Xenopus tropicalis: one gene and its partners. The protein of the gene in region 5 interacts with the protein of the main gene of each other region in a biochemical or structural test. Links are inferred from orthologs where the notes say so. Each region holds a gene or a part of one and is shown on either strand. Other genes may lie near its edges. The genes, in order: otub1, rnf4, peli1, trim63, ube2n, rnf8 and rbx1.

Region 1 (4,723 bases), on a different chromosome or scaffold from region 5:
GGCTCCTCACCTACTCACTAGGTGCTAGCCAGCTGGGGGAAAAGGCAGGCACACAACAACATGTACAGCCAGTGCTGGGCCTAGGGCAGGGGGCGCCCAAAGAAAGCACCACCCCTGCAACCACACAACTGGTCACATGTGCACCAAGATGAATAGAATTACTAGTTACTAACAGAAAAGAAACAAAGAAGAAGGTTTAGCAAAGTTATACTGGCAGTGATACTTTTCGCTAGTCTGAAATGTATAATACTATCACCCTGGCAAAAATACAAATTAATCTTGAGGCAAGACTCTCTATACTCTTTCTTCTTCCTGCTTTCTTTCTCTAAACTGTTATTTTTTTGTTGTTAAAATCCTAAATAAAAACTTTATAAAAACTTTAATTTATAAAAAAAAATCTTGAGGCAAGAGTTTTATTAATATTTGTAACTTCCTCTTCAGGCACTCTCCTTTTCATCTTGCAGTCTGCAAATCACTGCTCGCTGCTAGTATAAGCATGACCCTAGCAACCAGATCATTTAAATCCCAAACTGTAGAGGTATGGAACAAAATGTTAAATAGTTTGCAAACCAGAAAGAATTAAAGCTTCAGTTGCAAGATGTCTGAGAACAGACTGGTGCTTTATATTGGGCCCTGTGAGGGGCTCTTTGTGCCCTGGAACTGTAGGGCCTAAGCCCAGGCATGGTGGGCAGAAATAAATTCCAGGGTAAAAAAAAAAAAAAACAAATCCACAAAGAATGAAAAGATGAAGACAAAATGTAAATTGTGTCAGAATACCACTGTAAACAAAAAGTTAATCTGATGGTGAACTACCCAATGAAGGGTGATATAACACTGGGCAAATTGTGGTAAATTGCATTCATCGTTAGGTAACAAAGTGTCCTTAAAAAATACCATTTCCACAAACAAGAATTAGCGCAGGTAAAACATATATATTGTGTAATCAGCCAAAGTGCATAAGGGGGCAATTTCATGTGGTTACGCATTTCATATCACCCATGGTGATGAAGGGTGCTCCTTGCCTCAGGAGGCTGCGCCCAGTAGGTTACCAGGGGCTTATTAAGTTTCTCTGATGCTAAAAGGGTGTGTGGGGAGGAGGTGAGGGAGGCTACATTGGGAAGGCAGCCTCAGAGTGACATTGGTCCCAAATTTGCCCCTGACAGTGATTCTTGCTGTTACCAAATGCAATTTATTTTAGGTGCTTTGTTGTCTGTGAGAGAGGCGATTTCACATGGACTATAAAGTATACAGTGTGCCATTACCCTAAGGCAGGGGGGAGCAAACTACGCCCGCGGGCCACATTCGGCCCATTGGTCTTTTTAATCCGGCCCGCTGACTCCACAAGTCTTGTCATGAGAGACTTGGTGTCAAAGGACTGACGAGCGGAAATGGCGTAACGCTGGCTCGGCCTGTCTGTAAGTCAATGTGGCCCCTGAGCCGAGAAGTTTGCCCACCCCTGCCCTAAGGGCAACGATACATGGGGAGATTTTGAAAAAAGCCTGATCATGGTGACAAATCGCCAAAGTTCCCTTTCCACAAGGTCCAAGTAGCCACTGGACTCTTTTTGAGCGAGTAGCCACTATACATGGCAACTTGTATATATGTGCGTGTAACGGGAAGTGTGGTAAAAATCATGGCAACTAATCTCTCCATGTGTCACTGCCCTTAAGGAGAACCAACCAAAAATAAGCAGGGAATGCTGGTTTGTTGTAACTGAATTCCCCAACCCAGTGATATTCTTTGAAAAAAAAATATTACCATCTAGGGTACCCTTGTGCTTCTGCACAAAATATGGTCGAACACGCTGCACGATTATACTTACCGAGAGGCGCCTAACAAATCAGCATCCCTAGGAATTCTTTTGCCTCGCCCACCTTTATGATTATTGTATTGGACATGGGGGATAGAGAGTTGTCAACCTGACATCTAGGCTTTCCAGGGGAACAGAAAATGTTCCCCCATACCTGGAAGTGACATAATGGACGTCACGCAGGCCTCTCGAAGCGACGGCATGCGCAAAATCGCTGCTGAAGCTGAAAAATTCCCCCACAGACGCACAAATGCATCAACTTACGTCACTGAACGCTTACTATACATGCATGCATCAAATTCACTTCAGGACTTCGGCAAAAATGGAAAAACACTGCTGGGGGACTGGAGAAATCGTCTGACTCCCAAAGAAGTGGTGGAGGGGGGGGCTTGACAGCTCTGGTGATAGCAGCAGATGTGTCTGTCACAGTGGTACCTCCATTCTTGGTGCATTTAATAAAAAATATATATAGATTGAGATGACAATTAACTTAATCAGCTCCAGGGAGAGAATGCATGATATCAGATCTGATATCTCCTTCCTTAAATAAACAAAGCCCTGTAAAGACGTACAGAGCAGATAGCTTTAATGCAAGCGGGCTGTGCATTTCCATATGAATCCCATGGCCCCTGTGTGTGCCCCTGTATATGGCCCCTGTGTGTGCCCCTGTATATGGCCCCTGTGTGTGCCCCTGTATATGGCCCCTGTATATGGCCCCTGTGTGTGTGCCCCTGTGTATGTCCATATGTCCCTGTGTATGGCCCCTGTGTGTGTCCCTGTATGTGTGTCCCTGTATATGGCCCCTGTGTGTGCCCCTGTGTATGGCCCCTGTGTGTGTCCCTGTATGTGTGTCCCTGTATATGGTCCCTGTATATGGTCCCTGTGTGTGCCCCTGTGTATGGCCCCTGTGTGTGTCCCTGTATATGGCCCCTGTATATGGCCCCTGTGTGTGTGCCCCTGTATGTGCCCCTGTGTATGGTCCCTGTATATGGCCCCTGTGTATGGTCCCTGTATATGGCCCCTGTGTATGGTCCCTGTATGTGTCCCTGTATATGGCCCCTGTGTGTGTCCCTGTGTATGGCCCCTGTATGTGCCCCTGTATGTGCCCCTGTGTGTGCCCCTGCAGCCTGTACCCGCACCTCTCTCCTCCCTCCCACTCCCCGTTATACTGTGAGAAGCCGATAGGAACACGCAGGTACACCCCGCAGCCACTAACTCTCTCACCGTCACAATCACTTTGCTGCTGCCGCTCAGATTCTTCCGCCGCCATATTTCCAACCGACCGCCGCCACTCCAATCACTTCCGGGAGACTACAAACCGGAAGTCCCTCCCTAATTTCATAGCACAGCGCCGGATGAGACGGTTCCTATAGTAACTGTTCGCTAGTTTATAGTAGAATAAAGCGCTCAGCCAGGCGATACTAAGCAGGCTGTATTAAGCACGAGATAGTTGAATACCTTTAGTGCTATGTATACTTCATTGGTTATATGTGGTGCTAGACTAGTCTCCTGTAATACTCACTGAGCTTTCTATGTCACCAAGTGTTCCTTACTTTAAAGGGGAACGTCAGCTTCCGAACTAAGATTTGTTAGAGAGCCCCACACAACACACAAAATATAATATACCTATTACTGTAATCTGTTTCTTCAAAAAAGTATGACTAAATGCCATTTTTATATAATGAAATCCAGCTGCAAAACAATCTTCCCTTTCTGTATCATTTGAAAATCCTGCCAGGGGAAGAGGGACTAAAACACTGATGTTACAAATTGTAACATCACCACAGCTTACACATAGCATGCAGGAAATACATAACCCACAATGCATTGCACTTATTGATGTGTGCAGGGGATTGTGGGATTTGGAGCATGCAGGCTGAAGGAGGAGGACAGTCAGTTACTGTTATATTGGTTTGAGTAGTCAGATCAGCAAGTCAACAGGGGCCAGGCTTTGTTATAAACCACAATATTACATTAAAATCCTGTAACTGGTGGGAACCCTGGCTAACATTTATCAACAACTTTCATACACAAACCCGTTGACATAAGACCCTATAGAACCACTACTCTAAAAAACTAACAAGTCCCTGATGACATGTTTTATCTTTTATTTGCTTCTATTCTTTCTCAAATGTATTTAAAATTAAAAGTAATAACTTTTGTTACTCCTGACCTCACAACCTGTTTGTAAATGCAGATCATTTCAAATGTCCTTACCCTATTCCCTTCTTTTTTTCTGTACCCCATTTTCTCTGAAAAATCAAAAATAAAGAATATATAAAAAAAAAATCCTGTAACTGGTGCACGTTTTAATTGGTGTATATTGCAAAGTTCCTTGAAATTATCTTTACTTTTCAAAAAGCTTAAGTTGTGTTTGGGTGGTTTTCCCCTTTAAAGCACAGTCAGGTTTTTCCACTGTCAGTGGACTATTTAACTGGTGAAAACTACACAGAATTAGTCAATGAACTTGTGGAGCAAAGAAGGGTTGCTACCCGGCTGGCGTTTTAATAGCCTAGTCATTAAGAATGATGCTTATAATTTGCTAAGGGAATCAGTGACCCCCATTTAAAAGCTGCAAAGAGTTAGAAGAAGAAGGCAAATAATAAAAGAACTATAAAAAAAACCACAAATAATGAAGACTAATTGAAAAGTTGCTAAGAACTGGCCTATTGGTGTGTTCAATAACATACTAAAAGTGAACCACCCCTTTAAGAGCAACCAAGGGTATAGTTGCAAAGGTTGCTACTGCATCACAATCCCCATATCAATGGATTGATTGGCACAGAAGAAGAGTTGCAGTCAAATGTTGCTTTTGTAAGAACCAGGAATTCTGTAATTCTGTACTGCTCTTCCCATGGAATCCATTCACTCTCAAAGCCATTTGCAAAGATTTCTAGCAGCCCTCCTTTATCA
Region 2 (4,084 bases), on a different chromosome or scaffold from region 5:
CCTGTGGAGATGCAGACCCAAGACTTACACATTTTCAGCCATAAGGATGAACTAGAGGTTGGGCAAAATGATTTTATGGTTCTGGGGTTTCCTTATTAAGGATTTAATAGGACTAGAAAAACTATACCCCCCAAACAATGTAGGTCCATATAAAAATAGAATCCATGAAAAAGCTCATATGTAAAACCCTGCTTCATCTAAATAAAACATTTTCATAAAAATATACTTTAGTAGTATGTGCCATTGGGTAATCCTAAATAGAAAACTGCCATTTTAAGTACTAAGGGCCGCCCCCTGGGATCATAGGATTCACAGTGCACACAAACAAGCCAAGGCACACATACATGCTAGGCCCCATCAGCCAATGAATGGACAGAGTTCTTCCTTTGCTCCCACACTACTTCCTGTTACAGTTAAAGCTGCATTAGTTCCTGTCAGCTGATCTCTGAGGGAGCACACAGCCCATCACTAAATGGTGGCTCAAGGGAAAGGATGTAAAAAGGCAATATTTACTGATATATATATTCCAGTTTGGAATATTCTTTAATTGAACACTTAATATGATACACACTATCTGCTGGTTAACTTTCCATTCTGGGGGTATATTTTTCCTTTAACTATACATTGACTCAGAAAACAAAAAAACATGCATGCACAGTATACACACCCATCCCAAAATGCACTTTACTTACAACAACAGAGTCATTGATACTCAAGTCATTGTTAGTCAAGTCGACAACGACTGGTTCCGTGGATTCACACGTAAGATCAACAACTTCTTCCCCTGCAAAAATACAGGAACCTTGATAACTGGGCAAAAATACACAAAACTGATAATATATCTAGGCTCAACTCTATACAAGGTGGAATATATGAAATATATCATAGTGACAAAGAACTCTCAGCCAATTAAAGCTGCTAATGATTAACTGAAAATATGGAGTTTATAAGATTAAATGGAGAGGAGGTGGACACTGAATGGTTGGTAAGTGGTTCAGATGTGGGTGCATGAGTGCGGTTATTTCATCTGCTCTGCTGCATGTATCAATATGCTTCTGTGCCATAATCAGTGACTCCCATTTACTATCACAGCCCACTGTAATGTTGCTGAAATATCACCAAGGAAAAAGGATTTCAAAATAAACATCAATCAATAAAAGCACTTGTGTTTTAGGGATGCACAGAGCCCGGGTAATTATGTTCTTTATTTATAGGGAAGTAGCCATTAGCAGAATTATACAATCCATCTGTGCCCATCCCCAGGCACACAAAGGGCTGATGTAATAGGAACCCCCCCCCCCCCAGGTAAAAGAACTACTTTGCCCAATGGTTTCAGCGACTCGGCACTGGGGAGAACCCTGTGGGAACCACCGGACTAACCTGTGTTATGGTCACAGAGCACAAGAATAAGATACTATAATAAGTAAAAGGTTGCTATTGTGAGTTCTGATATCCATCTCACATGTTTATAAAGCAACCTAGCATAATGAAAACCATAAATAAACCATAGGTTTTCGGCTTCAGAGAGATACTATTTTGATCCTTACACTACTGAATTATTTTTTAAACACCTAGATATAAAAATGTTGCTCTAAGCAAATTTTACATTATACTTTAAAAGCCTAAGAAATCTGTATTTACAGTAAGTCAACTGTTACTGAAAGCAGCATCTGTCTGTCCTTTGCTATTCCCGGCACTGCTGATCCAGACTACATGCACCCCTGAAACAAAGTAGCAGCTGGAAACACTAATTCCCACAATGCTTTGCTTTGTTATTGTTAATCAACCTGTAAGTGTAAGGCACAGAGGCAATAGGGAAGCTAACTACTGCTATATTGTTTCAACAGTACACATAGTCAGGATGAACCTTAAAGAAAAATATATTTTTTTCACCAAAATTCAACAATAGTATTTCTGTAAAGCTGTGGCTCTATGACCTCCTGCCTTTTCCAGCCACTGCAATAACTTGAAGTTAAAGCCAAAACATACCACTTTCCAGTTCAATGGGCTCCGTCGCCGCTGTCATTGCGGCAGTGGAACCTGGCGCCCTTCTCTTGGACGACTTTGAGTGACCTGGCTCTGCTCCTTTACGTTTTCTTTGAGCCTGGAGGGGAAAAATAACCAGTGGGAAAAACCATAGCTTTATGTTGGAGGGGTTTTGACCTCCCCAATTAAGAACTGTTCTTACAGCCAATCAGGCAGCTTTGCCTTCAAGGCCAGGGTAGTAGTGACCAAGGCTAGCAGAACAGAATCCATCCAAATCACGGGGGGATTGTACAGGGTTATATACCTACGCAGAAATTTGCACTCTGAAGCCTATTATCTGTGTTACTCAAACTGGCCATCACGAGTGACAGAAATTATAACACAGAAAATGCACATTTGAGTATCTGCCTATGATATGCATAGAAAAGCACTTAAAGAAGAAGTAAACTTTCCCCCCCCATCTTTAAAATTACTCTAAACAACCCTCAGAATAACATACTTTAGTTCCTGCATTCAGTCTGATCTGATTTCTGATTTATAAGTTGAAATCTCCAGCTTCTTTCTTCTTCTTCCTGGAACAGCGTGAAGCCACGCCCCCTCTTCCTGTTTAGCTCTTCTCATCTCTTCAACTACAGGGTAGTCTAAGAGGAGAGCCTTCCAGTGTTGGACTGGCCCACCAGGATTCCAGGAAAACTCCCGGTGGGCCCTCCTGCTCCTGACCATTTGGCCTGTTTCATGGTCATTCCCTATTTCTGAATGGGAATAAAGGAGGTTGGGTGAGGAAATATGGAAAACTAGTTTGGGAAGCGGGCCTAGGGTCTAAGGTTTTCAGGTGGGTTTCTGGGAATGCCCAGCGAGTCAGGCAGTTATGTATGGGCACAGAAAAAAATCTGCTGCACACTTATTCTGTAGTCAAATAGATGAGGAGAGCTGAACAGGAAGAGGGGGCAGGGCTTCACACTGTACCAGGAAGAAGAGGAAAGGAGCTGGAGATTTGAACTTATAAATCAGAAACCAGATCAGACTGAATGCAGGAACTAAGGTATGTTATTCTGGGGGTTGTTTAGAGTAATTTTATAGAAAAAAAAACGATATATATATATATAACCCAACAGAAGGCCTATGTTTATAAGGGGAACAGAGGCTGGACACATTGTAAATATAATATAAATGATGCATCTGCTCCAACAGAGCCAGACATTGCAAGATGGGTACAAACACACTTGACACAAATGCCCTGTTATTATAATTGCATTTACCACAAGTATTGGGTGTGTAGCAAAGGTTTTTTTTTTTTAACACGAGATACCATAAACACCTTACAAGAATTCTGCTTAGCCTTTGCTAGTCAATTATATACTTTCATGTGCAGCAATACATATAAATACATTATATAAAACACTCATCAACTTTTCAGCACATCTTCCATGCCTTACATTGCATATGTCGTTGTCTCTTGATATTTTGTTTTTGTTATAGTGACTTTAGGTGACTGTTTAGTTAATATGCTTCAGTCTCAGTTACCTTGGATAAGCAAGACTCCCTTCTACTCGTTTTATTATTCAGAATTACGATCTTCTACTTTTTTCCTATGCAAAGTCACTAAAGTGAAACAAAACCGAAAATCACTTGCTTACCCACCAAACAATTGAATATCCAAAAAAATCACCTTAAAAGTAAAGTATCGCCTGGAAATAAGAGCTTCTCAAACACCAACACCATCTCAGGGTTGCGGCCTTAAAGGTCCATTAACCCCAAAACAGATTGTAAGTATCTTGGATTTAGCTAATAAAGTTAAAATATTTTTAATTTATGTTCTGTACTTGGGGCCCACGTTACAGTTCTGATTGGTTAGTTCCAACTATGTTTTACATACCAGCTCTACATTGTATTTAGCAATTAACTATATTAAATTCTGAAACAATTGGGAATTGCTATGGTCCTCTTGAAATTTGGAGAAATTAACCCAAGATGTTATTAAAACCATGGGTTGGAAACCTACAAACTGATTTGTTAACCTTGCTATATTTTAGAACACTGTGATATCATCATGAATAGGTTCTGTGCATTTCATCCATATACACTATATGGCCAAAAG
Region 3 (4,599 bases), on a different chromosome or scaffold from region 5:
TTGACATTTAATCAACTTAGTAGAACACATACAGTATGTGGAAAAAGTACAGTTACTATGGGTGGGTGATATCGGGCGAATTCAGGCTAATTCGGTCGTTTGGCGAGCCGATGCGGTCCCCTGATCTGACTAAATTTTTTAACCTGCCCAATCAATATCTGTCCAATTTCAGGCCAGATATCAGTCAGGCAAGGCCTGTCGTTGGTGCCCCTACATGGGCGAATCAGTCTAAGGGACGATATCAGCAGCTAGAATCGGCCCGTGTATGGCCACCTTTAGGGCTCTGGCACACAGGGAGATTAGTCGCCCGCGACAAATCTCCCTGTTCGTGGGCGCCTAATCTCCCCGAGTTGCCTTCACCTGCCATCCCACCGGCGACAATGTAAGTCGCCGGTGGGATGGCACACGCGGCGGCGCTATTTCGAGAAATCGCGAAAAAGACTCGCGAGGTTCGGGGGGGGGGGGGTTGGTCGCCCGCGAACAGGGAGTTTTGTCGCGGGCGACTAATCTCCCCGCGTGCCAGAGCTCTAAGTGTGCAACATGTACACAGTAATAACAAACAGAATGAGTACATGAGCCCAGACAAATACGCTTGGAGGATTAACTGTATGAGAGAACAATGAACTAAGCTCACAGAACTGCTCCCATGCCATAATACACAGCTGGCCCAGGAAGGCTCCAACAACAGAGAGGAAGCTCTCATTTTAACAAGGGGAGTGGGAAAGAAGAAATGAAAAAAAGACATGACTGGGTGGAATGCATACAGGAAATTGCTTAAAAAGGGGGAAAAAAAACCCAAGGCATCAGTATGACAAGAGACAAGCAATGCTGCCAAATAAGACTGAATTAAGATTCTCCATGAATGGGACAAGACAAGGGACCTTGTGTTTGATTACAAAAAGGAAGATACCACAAAACGATAAACAGTACAGCCTCGAGCCATATCTGTATATTTAAAACAGGATCAATAGTAACCAGCTTTCTTATAAAACGTAATGTCCAACCTTACATATTAACTCCTATGCTACCAAAAATGGTACAATGACATGTATATTATGTTCTCTGTCATGTGGTCATATACAATTAAACTTGAAATGTGGAACAGATTACACAAAGCTACTATAATGCTATCGGTTAATAAAGAGTATATGCATACAAAGCAAGTAAACAACCAAAGGTATTTGTAGAAACAGACTGGGAGTTGAGCAGTCTCAGAAAAACACCAGGCAGTCTGTGTGGGTTGGAAGTGTGCGTGGGGCAACAGCTGCCAAACAAATATAAAGACCCAAGGAGGGTTCACCAAAGGTGGAAGGGAAAATAATGCCACAATCTAGCATAGCAAATGCTCAACAGAACAGCAATCTTCATACTAAGGCCTTGTGCACACTGCAGACCAAGTGTGTCCAATTCATCTAGTGTAAAATCTAAAATCACCTAATCCAGCTGTCTTGAGATTTAAATCAGTCAAACTGAAAATTCAAATAAAGAGAAAAGTATTCAGACCCAAATAAAAGCATGGCCATTTAGATTAAAGAGGGTGCACGGCTGCCCATCCAACACTGCAACTTGCAGGATCTTCTCTCCAAATTGGCAAGAAAAGAGGGTGCAATGTTGGTGTTTCTGGCTAAAGGTGGCCATACACGCACCGATAATATCGTACGAAACCTCGTTTCGTGCGATATTTGGTGCGTGTATGGTATGTCGGCGAGTCGACCGATATTGCAGGAAGCTGCTGATATCGTCCGACTCGCTGATCGGACCAGTTGGAACATTTTGATCGGGCGCCATAGAAGGCGTCTGACCAAAATCTCCCTTCAGCGCTGAATCGGCAGAAGGAGGTAGAAATCCTATTGTTTCTACCTCCTTACCTGCCGATTCAGCCCTGAATGGTGTGTGGTGGATCTGACGATGTTTCGTGCGACCGATGGTCGCACGAAACATCGTCAGATCGTCACGTGTATGGCCAGCTTTAGTCAGAATAATTTAGAGCACAATACTCAAAAGATACAGATACAAAAGATACCTATGAAGAACTAGGCCTCGCTCCTGCTACATATTGTAAGCCAGATGGTCCAATGAGTAAGATAAAATGATAATAATTAGATGACTCTATTGCCATAACCTCTCAGATCAAGTCCAAGTGACAGAGAGAGTTGCAGCAACCAGAACAATCTGACCAACATTTCCACCAAAACTCAACTCCTTTCACTACCATGGAAATTGGCAATTGACGTACATGAGCTTCCCATGCAACTGAGAGGATATGATTCACAATTAAACCACGTTAAACGTGATGTACCACAGACATCCCTGCACAACTAGCGCACAAATGTGTACATTAGGCCTGGGATGGTGTCATGCTGATTTAGTTGGTTAAAGATGACAGCGAAATCCAACCTGATGCTAAACAGCTATTGATGAATTGCAGCTCCCAAAGCCCCCCACCCCCAGGCAGGGTGTATGTGTGTGCAGCCCCCGGGATAGTGACGAACACTCCCCCCAGCACAGGCTGGAGTGCCGCAGGTTGGCCATGCCCGGTCTAGCGCACCCTTTCCTTGCCAGCAGTAAAGCTTTATAGCAATGTGGCGATCACTGGGTTACGAGGCGCGCACCCGAGGCAGATTACAACTACACAAACGGGGGGGGGGGGGGGGGGGGGGGGGTAGATGTAGGTTCTCACGACTTACATAGCAACCGGGCCCCCGCACACGATTTTCCGTATTCCTTTCGCCTCCTTGTAAACCCAGCTGGGCGCTGAGGGCGGAACAGAGCAGCACCTTGCCTTTACCCCAGGCAGTGACCGTGTAATGAATAAAAGCTGGGAATATCCCCTCTCGGAGACCACTTCCTTCTACGCCTCCGCCTCTTCCTTTAGCGAACAATAACTGGATCGTTCCCGTTGTCTCCCAGCTAGAAGCAGCGATTGCAGCAGCAACAACGCTTGTGTGAGGCGCTGGGAGGCGAAGGAATGGCTAGGCTGTGACGTAAGCAAGCAAGGCCGGAGAGGCACGGCTTGTTTGCCGCAAGGAACTATGGGATGTGTAGCCATAACTCTGTAGGAAATACAGCAGAGGGAGTGTTGTTGCTTTATAGTGTGTAGGACAGCAGAGTAGCTTACCTCAATCAATGTATTTCTATGAATTATTAACATTTTAATCCTGAATCTGTAAATAAGGGTAAGGGGTTAGTTTGCCTGGTAAAGTAATAATTGTTCACAAAACTATTTCAAACTATTTCAGATTTACTAGCAAGAACATTCATTTAGGGATACATATAGGCAATACATTAGGGCATGTGGGTTAAGTTGGTGCCCTGTACTAATGTATTTAGTAAGGGGGAATTCAAAATACTTGTGGCAAGGTGTCTGACCATATAGTGGTGTAAAAATTCCAGCAGTATCTAAATTTTGATAGCCACAATTTAAGTATATTGCAATATATGGACAAACAACCCCTGCTTTGCTTAAAGGGGAGGGCATATCTTGGTAGTTTAATGCACAGAATGTCTTAACCTTGACAGCAAGCAAGTTGCATGTAAAACTCAGCCCCTTTGTTAAATGTATATTGAAGCAGTAGTATTCTTAATGAATCAGATAAAAGTTAGTGTAGGACTGGCCAGACCAGGGATAACTTTGATGCAGTTGGCCAGCTTGAATGTATTACATTTATGGACAAACAATCCCTATTTTGCTTAAAGGGGAAGGCTTATCTTGGTAGTCTAATTCGCAGGATGTCTTAATGTCCTATATATATATATTATATATATTGATAATGGGAGTGCAGAGGACCTCTTGTCTGCATGAATTTTGTGGTCACAGCCTCATTGTACCCCTGCCTAATGGTTTAAAATTTAGTGGTAAGCCCAACCTTTTTTTTTGCTATAGTTAATACAGGAACAGTGGCCAGCTCCATCTTGTAGCTCCCACCCTTTCTAGTTACAGTCTAGTCAGGTGATCCCAATGGGTTAATAAAAGGGCAACAATTTTTGGGGGGTTTTAACCTTGAAAGCAAGTAAAGGTGGCCATACACGTAGCAATTCCGATCTTTCATGTAACCAAAGATCATTCCCACCCTCCACTGACGTTCAGGGCTGAATCATCAGATATGGAGGTAGAAACAATAGAAATTCTACCTCCACCTGGCGATTCAGCCCTGTAGATTTTGCTTGGGCGCCTTCAGTGGAGCCTGATCAAAATCTTTTAACCTGGCCGATTGACAACTTGACTGATATCCACAGCCTTTTGCGATATCGGTCGCCTCTTCGAGCCGTAATACACGCACTGAATATCGGTGTGTGCATGGCCAGCTTAAGTTGTAGGTAAAACTCAAGCCCTTTGTTAAAGTATATTGAAGCAGTAGAATTCTTAATGAATCAGATAAAAGTGAGTGTAGGACTGGCACTAACGGTGCTCGGTGTGGTTTGTCCTTGAAGAAGAGCACTGTTAGTGCTCGAAATGTCGGATTTTTTTCAAAGACCCTGTGTGTGCAGCTCTATGCTTCTTTATATATATATATACAGTATATATATATATATATATATATATATTGATAATGGGTGAGTGCAGAGGACCTCTTGTTGTCTAGGTGGCAAACCTAGACA
Region 4 (2,864 bases), on a different chromosome or scaffold from region 5:
CATCCAATGTGCTACAGAATGCTTTTCAGGCTATGGAACAGCCTGGACCTGCTAACTTTCTTCTGGTAATTTACTGGGACTTCCAACATAAATGCCTCTACATGCATATTTATAAAGACGAGTAAAAAAAAAAAGTGGCATGTGAATACAAAGTCAAATTTTGTAACAGTGAACTATACCTTTAGCTTCATAGTGCACCATTTAAACTTCCGGATTAAAAGATGTATTAAATACAAAAAGCCAAGCAAAAACAGGCATAAAGGAACAGTAACATCATGGCTACACAGCAGCTAACTTATATAAACTATAGTAGTCTTTCTGAGGCAAACACACCAGTTGTAGCAATGCAGGGCAACTGTACATTATATTGTAATTACTTTTATACACTTTCATTTTTTGGTGTTACTGTTCCTTTAAGTGCCACTGCATTTTAAACAGATCTGGCTCTTTTTATGCCAAAAATTTTTGCTGTAAAGGCAACAAAAGAACCTTAGAAATACACGTTATATTTTGTATGACTTTTTTGGCATAAAATATATATTTTTTTAAATATTCTTTATTTTCAAACATATAATATGGGGGATACAGAAGGCAAGAGGGAAGGGGGGTCAAAAAACAAGGGCATAAAATATTTTACTCGTCTTTATAAATAGGCCTTCTATTGTATTTATTCAGGGAAGTTGTCAAGCAGATTAAGCCACAATGCAAACAGTGCCAGCCAATTGGGCAGAATACCCCCTGCATCCAACTTGCAAGAACAGTATATTGCGATGCTGCTCACAGAGTATTAAATGTACCTATGTACCTACCCAGAGTATGTGACACCACAGTTTTAAAAGGTTAATACAGCTTTCAACACAATCAGAGCATAATAGGTCAACACACCCCAAATATAGTGTAAATTAAATCCAGGAAATACAAATTGCCTGTGTCTTATAAATTTATCCTTTAAAAATCCATTTATAGCGGTCTAATTTAGTTTAAACATTTTCTATTTCTTATGTTGTACCTCTCTTATGCTGTGCTAAACCTTTTCTTTTCTGCTGTTTTCCTACAGGAGTCCAAACAGCTTATTAAAAAGTAAGTAACATTCCAGATCCAAAGCATGAAAATCATATGATTGTTACCTACTGCATGAACTGGTGATTCAGCCATATCGAGTTCATAATAAAACAATACCAGTGTGCCTTTTGCTCAGAGAAGCAACTAGTAAAAAAAAATGAAAACATTCAAAGGATCCAGCAGTAAGGAAGGGCTATAGAAAGAAACATGGGGAGGTGACATAAGAGGAAGTTGTAGAATGGCAATTAGTGCAAGGAGTCGTATCAGCAGGTAGCATTTATTTGTCAAATACATGTCTGATGCAAAAGCAAGCATTGCTTTTGATTTGTTGCTATGGGTCATTATACTTGGGCAAATTTTGCCCATTTTTATTTTATTATATTATGTTAGGGATATCTAAGAATGCAGCTGTTCAGAGTGCTGTTCAGCTTATTTAAATGTTAACTCTTGTATTTGCAGGCTAATGGAAGCATCCAAAGGCTGCCAATTGGAGAAGACTGATCATGGATTTGAAAATATGGACCAGTTCACCCTGGATATGGAACATGTCAGCCAGTGTCTGAGAAGCATTGACTTCACTCCAAGTGAGCTGAGAATCATGGTTGGAAAGGATCTTGTTTAATGCAGGATTTGGGGTGACAATAGCATTTGATAATAAGAATATAGTCATCATTGTTTAAAACAAATACAGTCTACAAAGGAATTTTCTTAAAGTAAATCAGTTACAAAAATTATTTCAAGTAATGTAAATTAAATAAAAAAGTAGGACAATTATTTGCTGCTTTCTGTCTTTTTCCAGCTTTCAAATGGGGTTCACTGAAAAAAAGTAAAAAAGAAAAAAAACTATTGCTCTGCGAGGCTGCATTTTTTTTTTGTTATTTCTATCACTATCCATTACATAACTTTCTATTCAGACCCTCACCTATATCTTTATCTTGAAGTCTTAATTTAAGCCACTGCCTGGTTGCTAGGGAAATGGGACAAAAGCAAGCAGATGAAAAATGAAGACCAATTGCAAATTGTCTCAGACAATTGTCACTCATCAAAATATCTGTTCAATCATAGTTAAAGTTTATGTAAAGTTGAACTACCATTACATGCTTTTTATCGAAACCAAAAATAAAGGCACAAAAAAGCAACAGTAAATAAAACACTCACCAAGTAGTAGTAGTATAAATTAAAAAAAATCAAATACTGAAAAAAAATAAAGACAGACTGATTTTGTCATTGGGTTTATTTAACATATCTAGTCAAAAGGTAGATATTTGTCACCATGGAACAAATGTAAAATACACTCTTTCTTTGGTCAGTGATTTTGAGAACCTGTTAGAGGAAACCCATAACTGCATCAAAATAGACTAATGAGAATGCTGTATCAGCCATTTGGGAAGTACTGTACCGCTAAATGTTATTTTTTACAGACTGTGATGAAGATGAGGAAGATGATATAGAGGAATATGAAGAAACTGAAGAAGAAACACTTGAAGGTAAGAACATTTGTCATAGACAAATTTACACATATGTCTCTATAACAAAGGTCATGGTTTATATTGCATCTGCATGAGTCTCATGGTGGTATCCTGCAACTATTATTACAGAGGCACTAATTGCATTAATATTTTAGTTCCCCCTATTTACCAAGGCTTGGTTGCAACCATTATATTAAAAAATCCTGCTCCCCATGAACATTTCATTTTAGCATTTACTATCCAGCCACAAACTATATTTTTAATCCTGAAGTAGCTTTGGCATGACACAGAGATCAAATCATATGGGGGAACATTCATTAAAGTACGAATCTG
Region 5 (4,601 bases):
GGTTAATGCCTAGCAATCTTTTAAACGCACTTTTTTTTCTTTAAACAAACATATATTAGAACCGTGTTGTTCATACCAGTCTCCACAGCTCGCTCATCAAGACTGCTGAATTAGAATGTCCTCAGTGGAAAGTGGAGGGATTATGATCAATATGCAACTCTGACACATCAAACAATTGCAACTTGGTCTAACTGCATTTACATTTTGTCAACAGGTTCTATAAATATTCAACACAGTAAAAGGCTTAATCTTTCCCATAAGGAATGGTTGTGGGAAAGATCTTCAGTAGGCAGGTAGGGTAACTAAAAAAAAAAGAGCAAAATCATGTGAACTAGCTATAAACTGAAATAGAAATCAGGACAAGAAATATCATGAAAAAATGGTATGTAATAGTGAATAAAACTGAAAAATAAAGAAGCAGGCCAGTAAATGTACTGATGCCTTTGAACTCGAGTTAGTAATAACTTTTGAGAATACCACAGATAGCAAGGAACAAACATGGATCCTTGACAAGATCAAACCAGACTTTCCACTTGATTCGCTAATAAGAAAACTGAAGCTTTCTTATGTTAGACATATCAGAAGATCATGATAATTGCATTAGACAATTTATAAACGTTGAATGGAAAATAAAATGCATGCAGGCAATATCTATATTGTTGCCAAGGGTCAACACCCAATTGATGGCACATTATTTCACTGCATGTTATCTTATGTATGTTAGAAATACTCCAAGGAAGCCATAGTGAGATTCAGATTTGCTGTGTAGCTTCAAATAAATATTTTACATGTAAAATACGGTTTCATTTTAACTGCAACAGCAAAACAAACCAAAAACTTTTACAACAAATATGCATTAAATGATAATATGCATTAAAACAAAACATCTAAGGGCTTTTTAAGCCAAATGATTTTAACCGTTTGATTTTATTTAGTGATGCTGTCTACACCATCACCAACATCTCTCTCCCAGCACTCAGTGCAGCATTTTGACAGGTTGCCAGCAATTAGCTTTAGAAATTAAAGTGGTGTAAGCTGGAATCATGACAGGAAGTGCTGGTGATCTGTTCCTGCTGAATTAAACTACATATACCACTTTGGTGCATGGTTTATATGCCAGTTTTTCTGCATGTGTTACAGCGATGCACTTAAATAGCTACTATATTGAAAGCAAGAGTGTGCTATATTTTTCAATCTCATCACATCCAGCCACAAACTTCTTCCATTTCATCCGTGTATTTTGCGAAATGTTTTCTTTGTATATCAGATGTATGTAAGAAGTCCAGCAAAAATATTTAATTATACATGTGAGGTTGGAAAAAAGGTTCAAATACTGGTTAAAAGTATCTTGCATAATATATGATATAATTTAGACAGGAAATGTGGAAACACTGCTGACAATATAGAAGATGGTTGTCACTGATTCACATAAAAAAGTGAAGCAGATAGAGCTTAGCAGAGGCAGACATCCCAAAAAATGAACATTTAAAATATTTAATTAGAATTTAAGTAAAATCTGGGCTTCAGCACAGTACCTAGTCCAATATTGATATTCATAGGCCAATTTCCCAACCACTGTAAATGGCAATACTATCAACCTAAGTTACCCAACCATTTAGCATGAAGATTTAAAGGACAGATATCTGCTTCCTTCAGTGCCTCACATCATATGACATTCAACTGTATCTTTATTTGACTTAAAGGGATGATGCAACTTCAGAATAAAGTATATGCCATGCGTTCCACAAATAAATGTTGTGGCTGAAGTTCTGAAAAGCTAATAGTGAATCCTGTGGCAAAATATAACCTATCACAAGCTGCTGGGACAAGAACAGGTCTTCTGAGAGACTGCACATTACGCAGAGACACCACAAAAGAGGGAACCTGGTTGCCTCTTTAGAGCATTGACAGATGGAGCTACTTGTTGTGGCTACAAAATAGACAACAGTAAATATTCTCAATATGTGTTTCAGCAGAGACAATTCTCAGTATTATCTATAGAAGGGTATTTTCTGGTACTTTGTGGCTGCAACTAGTAGCTCTGTGTGTCATTAAGTAGTTTACCTAGAATAAGAATTCTTAATCTAGGTGTTGGGGAACCACAATGAATCCCCGTCCACGCTACTTAGGTTGGGTCTCCATAACCTTTACCTGACCGAAAACGCCACTGAAGAACAGTAATTACGAATTATAATATGGTGCTTAAAGGATCCTAAATTAATTAGTGGTTCGTGAGTTGTTCCAAAGTCACCTGGATACCCCAGAAAAACGTAACACTTACCTAGAAGCAGCTCTGCGCTAGTATTTAGTAAGGGTAAAATCCCCCTTAGCATGGCTCAACCAACAGCCATGTAAAAATGTAGAATACATTGGGGTACAGTGACAAGCAGAACTATTTGGCTCCCAATTTAACTAAATGAGGTGCAATAAATAGTGAGCCAAGATGAAATATACCCTCCTTACTAATCAATAGCCTACCTATATATAAAATGGTCTACTGCCGACACCTCTGCCGTCAATTGATGCAGTAAAATGCGATATAGCTCCTAAACACTAAGCACACGTATTAGTAATGGCATGCAGTGTCTGGGGGAGTCACCCTATGTGCTACAGTGTAACTCATTCCTATATACCCCCCCCCCCATATCTGTACCCTTATGTAGCCTTAACGCTAACAGACTACAAGCAAATGGCGTGGGTGTGGTCGGCACAAGGTTTTACTTCAAGCACAAAAAATAACGTTGTCCCCATATCCCCGTTGGGGTGGTTTCCTATACAAGGCGCGCACACATAGCGACCCCGGACCCTCAACCCCATCAGACATCACTACAGGCCCAGTACCACCCGGCGGGTGCCATGTTGAAGCGGGCTGGAGGGCGGGGACATTCCCGGGCCTTGTCTCCATTCATTCGGATCAATGCCGCTGATCTAAGCCCAAGACATAACGTAAAGCAATCGCTACTACTTCACTAGCTACAAGCCGCCAATTACCTTGATTATCCTGCGAGGCAGCCCGGCCATCCTGTCTTATAATGCGTGCAGCCTCCAACTCTCTGCGTGCCACCGGATCCCCCTGTCACGCACAAGTGAGAGCGCGGCATCCGCTTCCGCTGACGTCATTGCGACAGCCCACAGGCTCATGGGAGATGTAGTTGTAACGGGACTCGTTATTCCTCTCATGTATAATGATGTAATCACGCTTGTTGGTGTGTGTAGTCAGAATGTTCATTTTAGCCCAAGGAACAATGCTTAAGTGTTTCAGTATGTCTTCTATGCACTGCCTGTAGCGAGCATAGAAGACATTGAAAACCAACAAGACGTAAGAAACGAACAGTCGTGTTAGCATGATGAGGTTTCAGCTTCACCCCACCCCATACAGCTGGCGAGACAAGAAATGAAACTGGAGTCAGACTATGCTATAAGGCCTGAAAGTAGGACACCTTGAATAAAACCATATGACTTCACTATTATATTAGCAGAAAAAAAAGCAACTTCATATTAACACCCTCTGAATGTAATGTTAGGCAGGTAGCAAATGTTTTGATTCTTTTGGTAACAGAATATAAGACTCTACTTGAATAGAAGTCGGGGTAATAGTGTATAGAGCCAGTCTATCAGAAATTGTTTACACATTTTGCAGAAACCCCAGCATCAACAAAAGCTTAATTCATGGTGGCTTAGTGGACTGCCTTGCAGTGCTGGGATCCTGTATTCAAAACCAGTTTGAGCATGCAAGGAGTTGGTATGTTCTTTCTGTGTCTGGAGTAGCTCTGGCTAGTCCAGTTCCATCTCACACACCAAAAACATATAGATAAGTTAACTGCCTACTCCCTAAAATGCTTTCCCACTGGCAATAAAGTGACTTATTGGTGGAAAGGAATATGCAGCACTACATTGGCCAAAGTTTCTTGTGCAGAAAACATTGCATGACTGGAAAACAAAGTGACGTGTGTGCTTTCCCACCAGCGATCTGACTTTAACTGCAGGCGGCTAATCTCCCTGTGTGCCACTGCCCTTACAGTCTAAGGTCCCTATCACATTATGGTCAGTAAAATGAGTAACCAATTAACTTGCCTGTATGTTTTTGGTGTGACACACATCAGACATCATTACAGGCCCAATACCACCCTGCGGGTGCCATGTTGAAGCGGGCTGGAAGGCGGGTACATTCTCTGGGAACATACTAACTCCTTGCAGATAGTGCTCAAGCCATGTGTGCTTTCCCACCAAAGATTCATTTTATTGCCAGTGGGAAAGCATTTTAAGGAGATTTGTTGCCAAAGTTAGCCACAGACAACAAATCTCCCTGTGTGCCACTACCCTAATATCCAATGAAGCAGAAGGTGCCTCAGAAATATGTTGGTGCATAAATACCAGGAAATAAATACAAACATTCTAAAAATTTCACTTGGCAGGCCTCAATTTGTTACTCGTGCCCTAGTGAATTTAATCGCTAACCTTGCATCACAGACCTACATTTGTACCTATTTCTACTGAAGGAGATAATATATTTTTTCAGACTTTATGCTCACAAAGAAATTTTTGTTTCTTGTCATTCTTTAGTACCTTTGAGCGGCAATCAGGACTGGGCAGAAAGGTCT
Region 6 (4,838 bases), on a different chromosome or scaffold from region 5:
AAAGAGCGCCATATTGACTTGTACTGGGAGGGAGAGAATAAAAAAAGGGGGTGGGGACTCTCCGCCCAAGGGCCGGGTCAGGGGCCCCAGTGATGGCAGCCATTGAGGCCTTGGGCTCACCATGTTGTGCTGTTCCTGCTGGAATATCTGCTTGAGTTCCTTCACGCTCTGCAGATGCTGCTCCTGCTCATTGCTCAGTTGGTTGCGCAGCTCCTGCAGCTCCTTCTGCACCGCAAGGACACAGTTGGGGCCCCGCTGGCTCTCGGGGGGGCAGTTCAGCCTCTCCTGCACCTCCATCTGTTTCTCCTGCACTTGCACATTCAGCCGGCGGATCTCCTCCATAGTTTGCCGGACCCGGGAGAGCTGCAGGCTGCTGCGGCACTGGCGCTGGGTGGGGGCCACCGCATCGGCATCCAGAGAGTCATTGAGTTCAGGCTCCACCCCAGGGAGCGTGGGCCCCGCCCTGACCGTAGGCTGCGTGACCAGGGGAGGGGGGCGGGAGGATTTGGTCGAGGCCTCGCCCCCCCTGGAGACCCGGCACAACTTGGACGGACCCTCATTTCCCGAGGCGTCGGCCTCCTCCGCGGTGAATTTGCGCTTGGCCCTCGGGGCTTTGGCCTTGCCGGGCAGCGGCCGCATTACAGAGCCCGACACCTTGTCCAGATGCTCCCGGACCAACCTGTACTCAAACTCAGCACTTTCCGCGTTGGGTGGGGGCACCCCCAGTTGGATGAGGGCCCCCTCGCTCAGGGTGTAGGCCTTGTGGGGCTCCAGTCTCTCCTTGTTCCTCCAAACCCCATTCAGACTCTGGGAAGGGAGAGACATTGCAACAGTGCAGGAAATGAAAGCACCAGACTGGGCTGAATAGGAAAGCAAAGCCCCGCCCAGTCATACCCAGCCCCGCCCAGTCATACCCAGCCCCGCCCAGTCATACCCAGCCCCGCCCAACTGCAGAGCCTGCACCCCCCCAACCACAACCCTACAAATTATACAGAGTCCATTGATTGCTGCTTGGCCGCTATGGGTTACTACTCCTGGGCAATTCAGCAGGAACAGCCCCCTAAGTTTGCCCATAGCCTGTACAGAGAGATACCATAAAACTATGGCACATAGGGATTCCCCTGTACTAAGCACAATTCAGCAGGAACAGCCCCCTAAGTTTGCCCATAGCCTGTACAGAGAGATACCATAAAACTATGGCACATAGGTATTCCCCTGTACTAAGCACAATTCAGCAGGAACAGCCCCCTAAGTTTGCTCATAGCCTGTACAGAGAGATACCATAAAACTATGGCACATAGGGATTCCCCTGTACTAAGCACAATTCAGCAGGAACAGCCCCCTAAGTTTGCTCATAGCCTGTACAGAGAGATACCATAAAACTATGGCACATAGGGATTCCCCTGTACTAAGCACAATTCAGCAGGAACAGCCCCCTAAGTTTGCTCATAGCCTGTACAGAGAGATACCATAAAACTATGGCACATAGGGATTCCCCTGTACTAAGCACAATTCAGCAGGAACAGCCTCCTAAGTTTGCTCATAGCCTGTACAGAGAGATACCATAAAACTATGGCACATAGGGATTCCCCTGTACTAATTACAATTCAGCAGGAACAGCCCCTCACAGACACAGTAGGGGGTGTATCTGGGGGTGCAGGTACCTTGTTATCAGTCACAGTCCACTCGCCCCGGACGTTCTGCTTGAAGAGACAGTGGGTGCGGGAGATCATGAGGGGGCACAGGGTGGGTTTCAGTTGGTAGGTGACCCCCAGGCCTCGGCCCATAGTGACCTGAACACAAACAGAGAAATGAATGAGACGCACAGACCGATATAATCACTGGGGGGTCAATTCTCTGGGCTCCCCCACCCAAACTCATAATGCTCTCTGCACCCCAAGTTTCCCCCAACCAAGGGTCTCTCCCCCAAACCTTCCTCCCCCCCCCCCCACAGTGCCCCCAGGAAACTGCCCCCCCACAGTGCCCCCAGGGAACTGCCCCCCCCCAGTGCCCCCAGGGAACTGCCCCCCCACAGTGCCCCCAGGGAACTGCCCCCCCACAGTGCCCCCAGGGAACAGCCCCCCCCCACACAGTGCCCCCAGGGAACTGCCCCCCCACAGTGCCCCCAGGGAACTGCCCCCCCACAGTGCCCCCAGGGAACTGCCCCCCCACAGTGCCCCCAGGGAACTGCCCCCCCACAGTGCCCCCAGGGAACTGCCCCCCCACAGTGCCCCCAGGGAACTGCCCCCCCCACAGTGCCCCCAGGGAACTGCCCCCCCACAGTGCCCCCAGGGAACTGCCCCCCCCACAGTGCCCCCAGGGAACAGCCCCCCCCCACACAGTGCCCCCAGGGAACAGCCCCCCCCCACACAGTGCCCCCAGGGAACAGCCCCCCCCACACAGTGCCCCCAGGGAACTGCCCCCCCACAGTGCCCCCAGGGAACAGCCCCCCCCCCACACAGTGCCCCCAGGGAACAGCCCCCCCCCCACACAGTGCCCCCAGGGAACAGCCCCCCCCCCCACACAGTGCCCCCAGGGAACTGCCCCCCCACAGTGCCCCCAGGGAACAGCCCCCCCCCCACACAGTGCCCCCAGGGAACAGCCCCCCCCCCACACAGTGCCCCCAGGGAACAGCCCCCCCCCCCACACAGTGCCCCCAGGGAACAGCCCCCCCCCACACACAGTGCCCCCAGGGAACAGCCCCCCCCCACACAGTGCCCCCAGGGAACAGCCCCCCCCCCACACAGTGCCCCCAGGGAACAGCCCCCCCCCACACAGTGCCCCCAGGAAACTGCCCCCCCACAGTGCCCCCAGGGAACAGCCCCCCCCCCACGGAACAGCCCCCCCCACAGTGCCCCCCACGGAACAGCCCCCCCCACAGTGCCCCCCAGGGAACAGCCCCCCCCCCCCACAGCGCCCTCTCTGTTCCTCCAAGAGCCCTGCCCCCCCAAACTCCCCTAAGCCCCCCGGACTGTTTGGCTGCTACAGGCCCCGCCCTCACCTCCTCCCCGTCAGGCAATGGCAGCGACTCCTCGCTCCTCCCGCAGCGCCTCAGGTACCAACACATCCCGGGGCCTCCGTCCGCCATGTCAGGGGCCCGGCCCTTCGCCCCGGAGCAGCCAGATAAACCGAGATGTACAACGGCCGCCTATCCGCACAGCCCCGACCAACCGCAGCCCGAGTTATTCACCCGCCGCCCGCAGGCAGGAACAATCGAGCGCCATCTGTGTAAGGTCTGGGTACGGGTCGCTGTTGGGTCCAAGCGGCGCTTCGGCCTCCGGGGACGTCATGCACACGTGATGCGCCGCGTCCCTCACTCCGAGCGTCTATGAACCGTATAGAAACTGTATATAAACCGTATGTATGAGGTGCGGGAATCCCTCCCGTTACACCGCGCCGCCCGCTCTCACGGATTAGTGATGTTTAATACAATATTCTGCGTTTAAACCGTCCCTTTAGCTCTTGCGCTGACGCCGATCCTGATTGGCCGCTTTGGCGCGACGTCACTGTAATCTCGCGAGAATTCCGACATTTCCCGCCCCGTTATTGGGTTTGTTCAGCTTGGGGTGTTACGGAATAGTATATTCTTAGCAAATTTTCAATTGGTCTTCATTTTGTTTTTATTTTTGTCTACTTGTGTAATTATTTCCCTTCTTCTGACTCTTTGCAGCTTCCAAATGGGGGTCACTGACCCCGGCAGCCAAACCCTATTGCTCTGTGAGGCTCCAGTTTTATTGTTACTTTTCATTATTACATTTCTATTTAGGCCTCTGACCCTATTCATATTCCAGTCTCTCCTTCAAAGCACTGCCTGGTTGCTAAATTCAATTGGACCCTAACAACCAGATAGCTGCCTCTTCCAGCAGTATAAATCTCTCTGCAAGGGCTGATTTATTGAGAAATTCCACCAAAACCCCACTAGCCCCGCCCATCTGTGCCACTTCCTGCCGCCTCCTTTCCCAGGCTGTGCAGGGGGGCGGCGGCACTGTAGGATAGGAACCAATCAGCAGCTAGGCTGACCTGATAGGGAACTGAAGCCTGTCTGTGCTTGTGTGAGTGCAGGGCTGTGATTGGCTCTCCCCCTCCTACTGTGCTTCTGGCAGGGACCGTTAGGACACGCCCACCCCTCATGAAACGCAGACACCAGTGATGTTGCCTATAGCAACCAATCAGCAATTAGAATTTAATGGTCGCCTACAAAAGCAAAGATCTGATTGGTTGCTATGGGCAACGTTACCGATGATGTTGCCCTACACACTATAATAAATATGCCCCAGCTTGGGGTGATTGCGGCAGTTCCAGGTATTTATGTTACAGTCCTTTATTTCCATCCTCAGTGGGTGCGAGCATTGGATCAGTAGCCCCCGCGGGAGACCGTGGCACCATGTGACACTGTGGTCCAATGATAATGCCGCCCTGCCCACTCATCCCTCTTCTTTTATTGGCTCGTGGGCAAAACCTCTCTTTAGTGAGAATCCAAGGGCCACTTACCTGCCTGTAGAACCTTTACAGCTGCCCCCCCCCTCTGGTTTGGGTAAGACTATGGGTGCCCTGGTTCCTTCTCCCCATCTTCCCCCCCCCCCCGCGCCAACAAGCTGACCCTCAATGATTTGCCCCAGGAGGCTGGAGGCCTCGGGGTCTTAGATCCTCCCCTTGTTACTTTGTGCTCCTCGTCTCATTGGCAGAAGCCTGGTGATGGGGCAGGGGAAGGGCCAAATCCATACTATATACACATTGGAGGTCCGTTATCCAAAGCCGGATCCACTCCCCCAAATCCCTGACAGCCGGGTCAGCACACATGGGGTTTGCTCAGGCTGAAATAAAGGCTCCCAGGATGC
Region 7 (3,978 bases), on a different chromosome or scaffold from region 5:
GTTTCTCCAAAAAAACTATATTATATATTTGATACTAAGTCACTGAATATCCATCAAAGCTACTTACATTACACACACCCCATGCCACAGTGCATTCCTCAGAAGTAGCAGAAGCTTGGTTTGCTTGGCACTCTATGCCTAGAAGATACAAGAGGATTATTTTTATTTTCTGCATTTGTACCATTCAAAGGGGTTATTCACTTTTTCAAAGATAAATGTATATATAAGCACTGGGACTAACTAAAATGTTGCTTACAGACAACAGTTGTTTTATCGGCTAAAGTTCAATTAAGGAAACTTACACAAGTCCATGATGTGGTTCCTGCAGATGGCACAATTGTCCACTACAATGTCCCAGGCCCAAAGGGCAACTGCATTCCACTGCAACAAAAAAGAAAAAAAAGTTAAAGTGATGTAAATTTTGGCAATAAATTAAATATGTTTTAAAACTCATCTAATCACTTAGCACAATCTGCTCTAAGTTGGTTCATGTGTATAGAATTACCGGTATGTTCGATTTACTAGTTTAGCCAGTTTTACCAGACAATGGCTTTGGAGTCTTACTGGAATGGTTAAACGTGGCCCAAATGTGGCTCAATGAAGGCACCAATATCAATGTGCCTAGATCAGGGCCGGAATAATGGGTGCCAGACAGGTACCTCTCCTGCCTCCCCCTAGTCTGCACTAACTTGTCATTTCCTTCACTGCACGTGGGTATTATGCATGGGAGGGTGCAGGGGTAAGGTGGCCGACCAGGTTGCCTAGGTGCCCGGTCGGCTTGGCCTGCCTCTGGCCTAGATGCTTGGCAGACCCTGTTACCTCAACATGTAGCCTCACACAGAGCTGGATAAGAGTGTCGTCTTGATGACCCCCCCCCCCCTTTTTTTTTTTTTTTTTTTTTTAACAGTAATCTCAGGTCAGACTGTATACAACAGCTCCATCAGGAGCTTATTTCTAACAAATAAAGTGTCTATACCATAAACATATACTTTTCACTAATTCACTCAAATTAAAAAAAAAAAAATATATAAAAAGTTGGGGAGCAACACAATCATGATAAAAGTGACAAATAAGGGCTGTGATTGGTTATTTGGTAGCCCAATGCAAACTGGCAGAATAAAGGAGACTATTTGGCAGTACAGATGGTCTTTATGCCTACAAAACTTGCCTTCAAATTAGACATTAAGAAATAAACACCTGTTTTGAGGCCACTGGAAGCAACATTAAAGGGGGTGGTGAGCAACATGTTGCTCATGAGCCACTGGTTGGGGATAACTGATCTATAACATGAAGGGAGAAGGACCCTCTAAGCAACTCCATAAAAAGGTGATTTAAAGCACAAGTTGGGGGATGGAAATAGGAAAATTTCCAAGTCTCTAACTATAACTGGACATACAGTTACATCTATCATTTAGAAACTGAAAGGGTATGGCATAGCTGTAAATCTGCCAGGAACAGGCCATCCACGAAAAGAGAGTGAATGTGCAAGGAGAAGAATAATGTAGAAGGTCACTAAGAGACCCATGACAACTCTGTGGCTGAAATTGGAAAGGCTATAAATACAACAAATACTGCCCAGTAGTGGAAGAAAGAAAGCCACTGTTAATCAGGGTTGGACTGGGCTACGGGACACTGGGGAAAAAGCCCAGTTGGCCCCAGCCTTCATTTAGGCTTACCCAGTGGCACATACTACAAAAAAAAGTATATTTATATGAGAATGGCTTTTTTGGATGAAGTAGGGTTTTACATATGAGCTTGTATATGCAATACATATTTAGAGACCTACATTGTTTCGGAGTATAGTTTTCCTTTAAGTATAGGGTATGCAGGGTCTGAGGGAGAGGAGGCTGTAATGGCAACATACACCAACAATGGCACATACACCATGTTTGATACTGTAAGCTAAACACACCATGCCCTGCAGAACTATGGTGGCAAAATCATCACGCTGTGAGAATGCATATTCACAGCTCCTGTACCGTAGGGGTATATATATCATGCTGTGCAAAAAGTGGAGTAAAACATCACCGATGAAGTTTATAGCAGCCAATCAGAACTGTTGAAATCTAATAGCCGATTGGTTACCCAGCTCAACACCACTGATAATGCTTCACTCCACTTTTTACACAGCATGATTAATATACCCCTACATGTGCTAAATGCAAGTCATTTGACCCCTACATTTACTTGTTCAACAATTTATTTTTTATCAAATAGCCCCGTTTCTTGCTCTCACACCGCTAAAAGCCCAAGACACATTCCCTGCCTCCTCCAGGGAAACAAATGAGCAAATGAGACCACGCAATGTCTGTGGCCCTACAGCTCCCCCGCAAACTCGTGAAGTGCGGCTACATGATCCCGCCTCCCAGTGCAGCTGAGAGGGGCACTTACATTGGTTAGAATTCATCCAATCGTTTGTGGCATCAGTAGCTATCCGCTATTGGGCCGCCGGAACGACAGAAATCACCGCTTTGCCAAAACGGACCGCCCTAAGTATTAGGGTTTAACATTTGATTCGGCGGAAAACACGTCAATCAAACATCTAAAAAGCTTTAGGGCGCAAGCAATCTAGCTGAATAGTATCAGCTGCTGCACTGTCGCCCTCTTTAAGTATTAGTTAGAAAGACTGTTCTGATCATTTGCTACATCCATAACATACGCAAGCAAGCACACTTACCTTCTTAACCTCAAAGCGCTTCTTACTAGCGCTGTTATTCGTTCCGCTTGGTGTGTCTACATCCATTGCGGCTGCCATTTTGAAAAGAGGAAATTCCGGGTCTATATGGCGCATGCGCCGAAAGCTGGGCTGATGCCTTGGTCATGTGATTAGCATTAAAGGCGCACAGTTTGGGGCGTGTTAGTAATGTGTGTGGGGGCGGAAGACGGTAACGAGGAAGAGCTGCGGTCTGCAGGCTTGGAGAGAATTTATTTAAAGGCGTAGGCACATGCTCCTTGAGGGAAGTAAAATGTACAGATTTAAGCAAGCTAGCCTTTTCATCTGTTCGTATTCACTAAGGGGCTGTGGTGTTCTGGTTAAGCAAAATATTTCTGTATTGAACAGTTAACCCTTTCACTGCCAGCTGATTTGGTCAAAGCAGAACTTGTATTGCCAGACTGTTTTGAAACATTTTGCACTCTTAGGGCCTTTCCTTGGGGGGACTTTTAGTTTACACAGGAAAACAATATATCTTTTTTTTTTGGGGGGGGGGGCGACCTAAGATTTCAAAATATGGTAGAATTTTTGTGTGATTCCAATTCTGGAACAAGATATAGGCTTCTTAATGTCTAAAAGATTAAAAAAAACAAAAACAACAAAAAAACAACAACACGTTTTCCGTAATATAAACACATATAAAAGAAACAAATGATTTTATGCACAAAAATACAACTGATTCGGAAAGTCCCATGTCTCCTGAATGTGCCAGCACCAAATATATATATAGTTTTATGTCGATTTCTCATTTGTGTGATTCAAAAATTCCCAGCGGTACACTACCTACCAAATTTCCAAAGCACTGCTCCAGAAAGCTTGCATACTTAAGATTTTAACACCTACATTTCAGAAGGTTTATACCAGAAAATTATACATTTTTGGAAAGAACAGATTCTGAGGAATGGAGAATAGGTTAAAACTGTCTGTCTACTCCAAACTACGAAGTTGCAATGCTTTCCTAAAATTATTGTTTTTTTATCAAAATTTATCACAAAGCTAAAACTGTAGTACTGTGTTAGCCAGTGTCAAAAATAATAATAAAAAAAACAAAATACAAGAGTATTATATATAAAAATAACATTGCAAGCTTTCGGAGCTCTAAGGACCCTTCGTCAGGCAAAATATGTATAGGTTTCCACAAGTGTGTGCAATGTAGGGGCCCTAAAATGAAAATACCCCTATATGATCTATCATTTCTGTCATTTCAGCTCCTGCAAAATCAACATTTACATTATTTTATGTGGAATGAAGCTACAAAAAATGAA

Evidence for each region.
Region 1: the proteins of ube2n (region 5) and otub1 form a complex in vitro, tested with the Homo sapiens proteins (6 studies listed by BioGRID and IntAct, with this or other methods). The link is inferred for Xenopus tropicalis from reciprocal best matches to the Homo sapiens genes UBE2N and OTUB1.
Region 2: the proteins of ube2n (region 5) and rnf4 form a complex in vitro, tested with the Homo sapiens proteins (2 studies listed by BioGRID, with this or other methods). The link is inferred for Xenopus tropicalis from reciprocal best matches to the Homo sapiens genes UBE2N and RNF4.
Region 3: the proteins of ube2n (region 5) and peli1 form a complex in vitro, tested with the Homo sapiens proteins (2 studies listed by BioGRID). The link is inferred for Xenopus tropicalis from reciprocal best matches to the Homo sapiens genes UBE2N and PELI1.
Region 4: the proteins of ube2n (region 5) and trim63 form a complex in vitro, tested with the Homo sapiens proteins (2 studies listed by BioGRID). The link is inferred for Xenopus tropicalis from reciprocal best matches to the Homo sapiens genes UBE2N and TRIM63.
Region 6: the proteins of ube2n (region 5) and rnf8 form a complex in vitro, tested with the Homo sapiens proteins (7 studies listed by BioGRID). The link is inferred for Xenopus tropicalis from reciprocal best matches to the Homo sapiens genes UBE2N and RNF8.
Region 7: the proteins of ube2n (region 5) and rbx1 form a complex in vitro, tested with the Homo sapiens proteins (5 studies listed by BioGRID). The link is inferred for Xenopus tropicalis from reciprocal best matches to the Homo sapiens genes UBE2N and RBX1.

The regions. Positions count from the first base shown.
Region 1 is NC_030680.2:36,045,922-36,050,644, forward strand, and holds the start of otub1 (ubiquitin thioesterase OTUB1), read right to left. Parts: upstream 3,152-4,723; 5' UTR 3,081-3,151; coding exon 3,035-3,080; intron 1-3,034. UniProt on the Homo sapiens protein: Hydrolase that can specifically remove 'Lys-48'-linked conjugated ubiquitin from proteins and plays an important regulatory role at the level of protein turnover by preventing degradation.
Region 2 is NC_030677.2:21,724,657-21,728,740, reverse strand, and holds part of rnf4 (E3 ubiquitin-protein ligase RNF4), read right to left. Parts: intron 3,589-4,084; exon of another isoform or gene 3,511-3,588; intron 2,105-3,510; coding exon 1,990-2,104; intron 785-1,989; coding exon 693-784; intron 1-692. UniProt on the Homo sapiens protein: E3 ubiquitin-protein ligase which binds polysumoylated chains covalently attached to proteins and mediates 'Lys-6'-, 'Lys-11'-, 'Lys-48'- and 'Lys-63'-linked polyubiquitination of those substrates and their subsequent targeting to the proteasome for degradation.
Region 3 is NC_030681.2:32,546,899-32,551,497, reverse strand, and holds the start of peli1 (E3 ubiquitin-protein ligase pellino homolog 1), read right to left. Parts: upstream 2,965-4,599; 5' UTR 2,688-2,964; intron 1-2,687. UniProt on the Homo sapiens protein: E3 ubiquitin ligase catalyzing the covalent attachment of ubiquitin moieties onto substrate proteins. Involved in the TLR and IL-1 signaling pathways via interaction with the complex containing IRAK kinases and TRAF6.
Region 4 is NC_030678.2:76,882,296-76,885,159, reverse strand, and holds part of trim63 (E3 ubiquitin-protein ligase TRIM63), read left to right. Parts: coding exon 1-65; intron 66-1,057; coding exon 1,058-1,080; intron 1,081-1,521; coding exon 1,522-1,646; intron 1,647-2,483; coding exon 2,484-2,549; intron 2,550-2,864. UniProt on the Homo sapiens protein: E3 ubiquitin ligase. Mediates the ubiquitination and subsequent proteasomal degradation of CKM, GMEB1 and HIBADH.
Region 5 is NC_030679.2:56,096,229-56,100,829, forward strand, and holds the start of ube2n (ubiquitin-conjugating enzyme E2 N), read right to left. Parts: upstream 3,040-4,601; 5' UTR 3,022-3,039; coding exon 2,992-3,021; intron 1-2,991. UniProt on the Homo sapiens protein: The UBE2V1-UBE2N and UBE2V2-UBE2N heterodimers catalyze the synthesis of non-canonical 'Lys-63'-linked polyubiquitin chains. This type of polyubiquitination does not lead to protein degradation by the proteasome.
Region 6 is NC_030681.2:2,800,895-2,805,732, reverse strand, and holds the start of rnf8 (E3 ubiquitin-protein ligase RNF8), read right to left. Parts: upstream 3,167-4,838; 5' UTR 3,089-3,166; coding exon 3,002-3,088; intron 1,794-3,001; coding exon 1,665-1,793; intron 808-1,664; coding exon 749-807; coding exon of another isoform or gene 170-748; coding exon 121-169; intron 1-120. UniProt on the Homo sapiens protein: E3 ubiquitin-protein ligase that plays a key role in DNA damage signaling via 2 distinct roles: by mediating the 'Lys-63'-linked ubiquitination of histones H2A and H2AX and promoting the recruitment of DNA repair proteins at double-strand breaks (DSBs) sites, and by catalyzing 'Lys-48'-linked ubiquitination to remove target proteins from DNA damage sites.
Region 7 is NC_030680.2:115,969,901-115,973,878, forward strand, and holds the start of rbx1 (E3 ubiquitin-protein ligase RBX1), read right to left. Parts: upstream 2,801-3,978; 5' UTR 2,792-2,800; coding exon 2,678-2,791; intron 382-2,677; coding exon 303-381; intron 139-302; coding exon 68-138; intron 1-67. UniProt on the Homo sapiens protein: E3 ubiquitin ligase component of multiple cullin-RING-based E3 ubiquitin-protein ligase (CRLs) complexes which mediate the ubiquitination and subsequent proteasomal degradation of target proteins, including proteins involved in cell cycle progression, signal transduction, transcription and transcription-coupled nucleotide excision repair.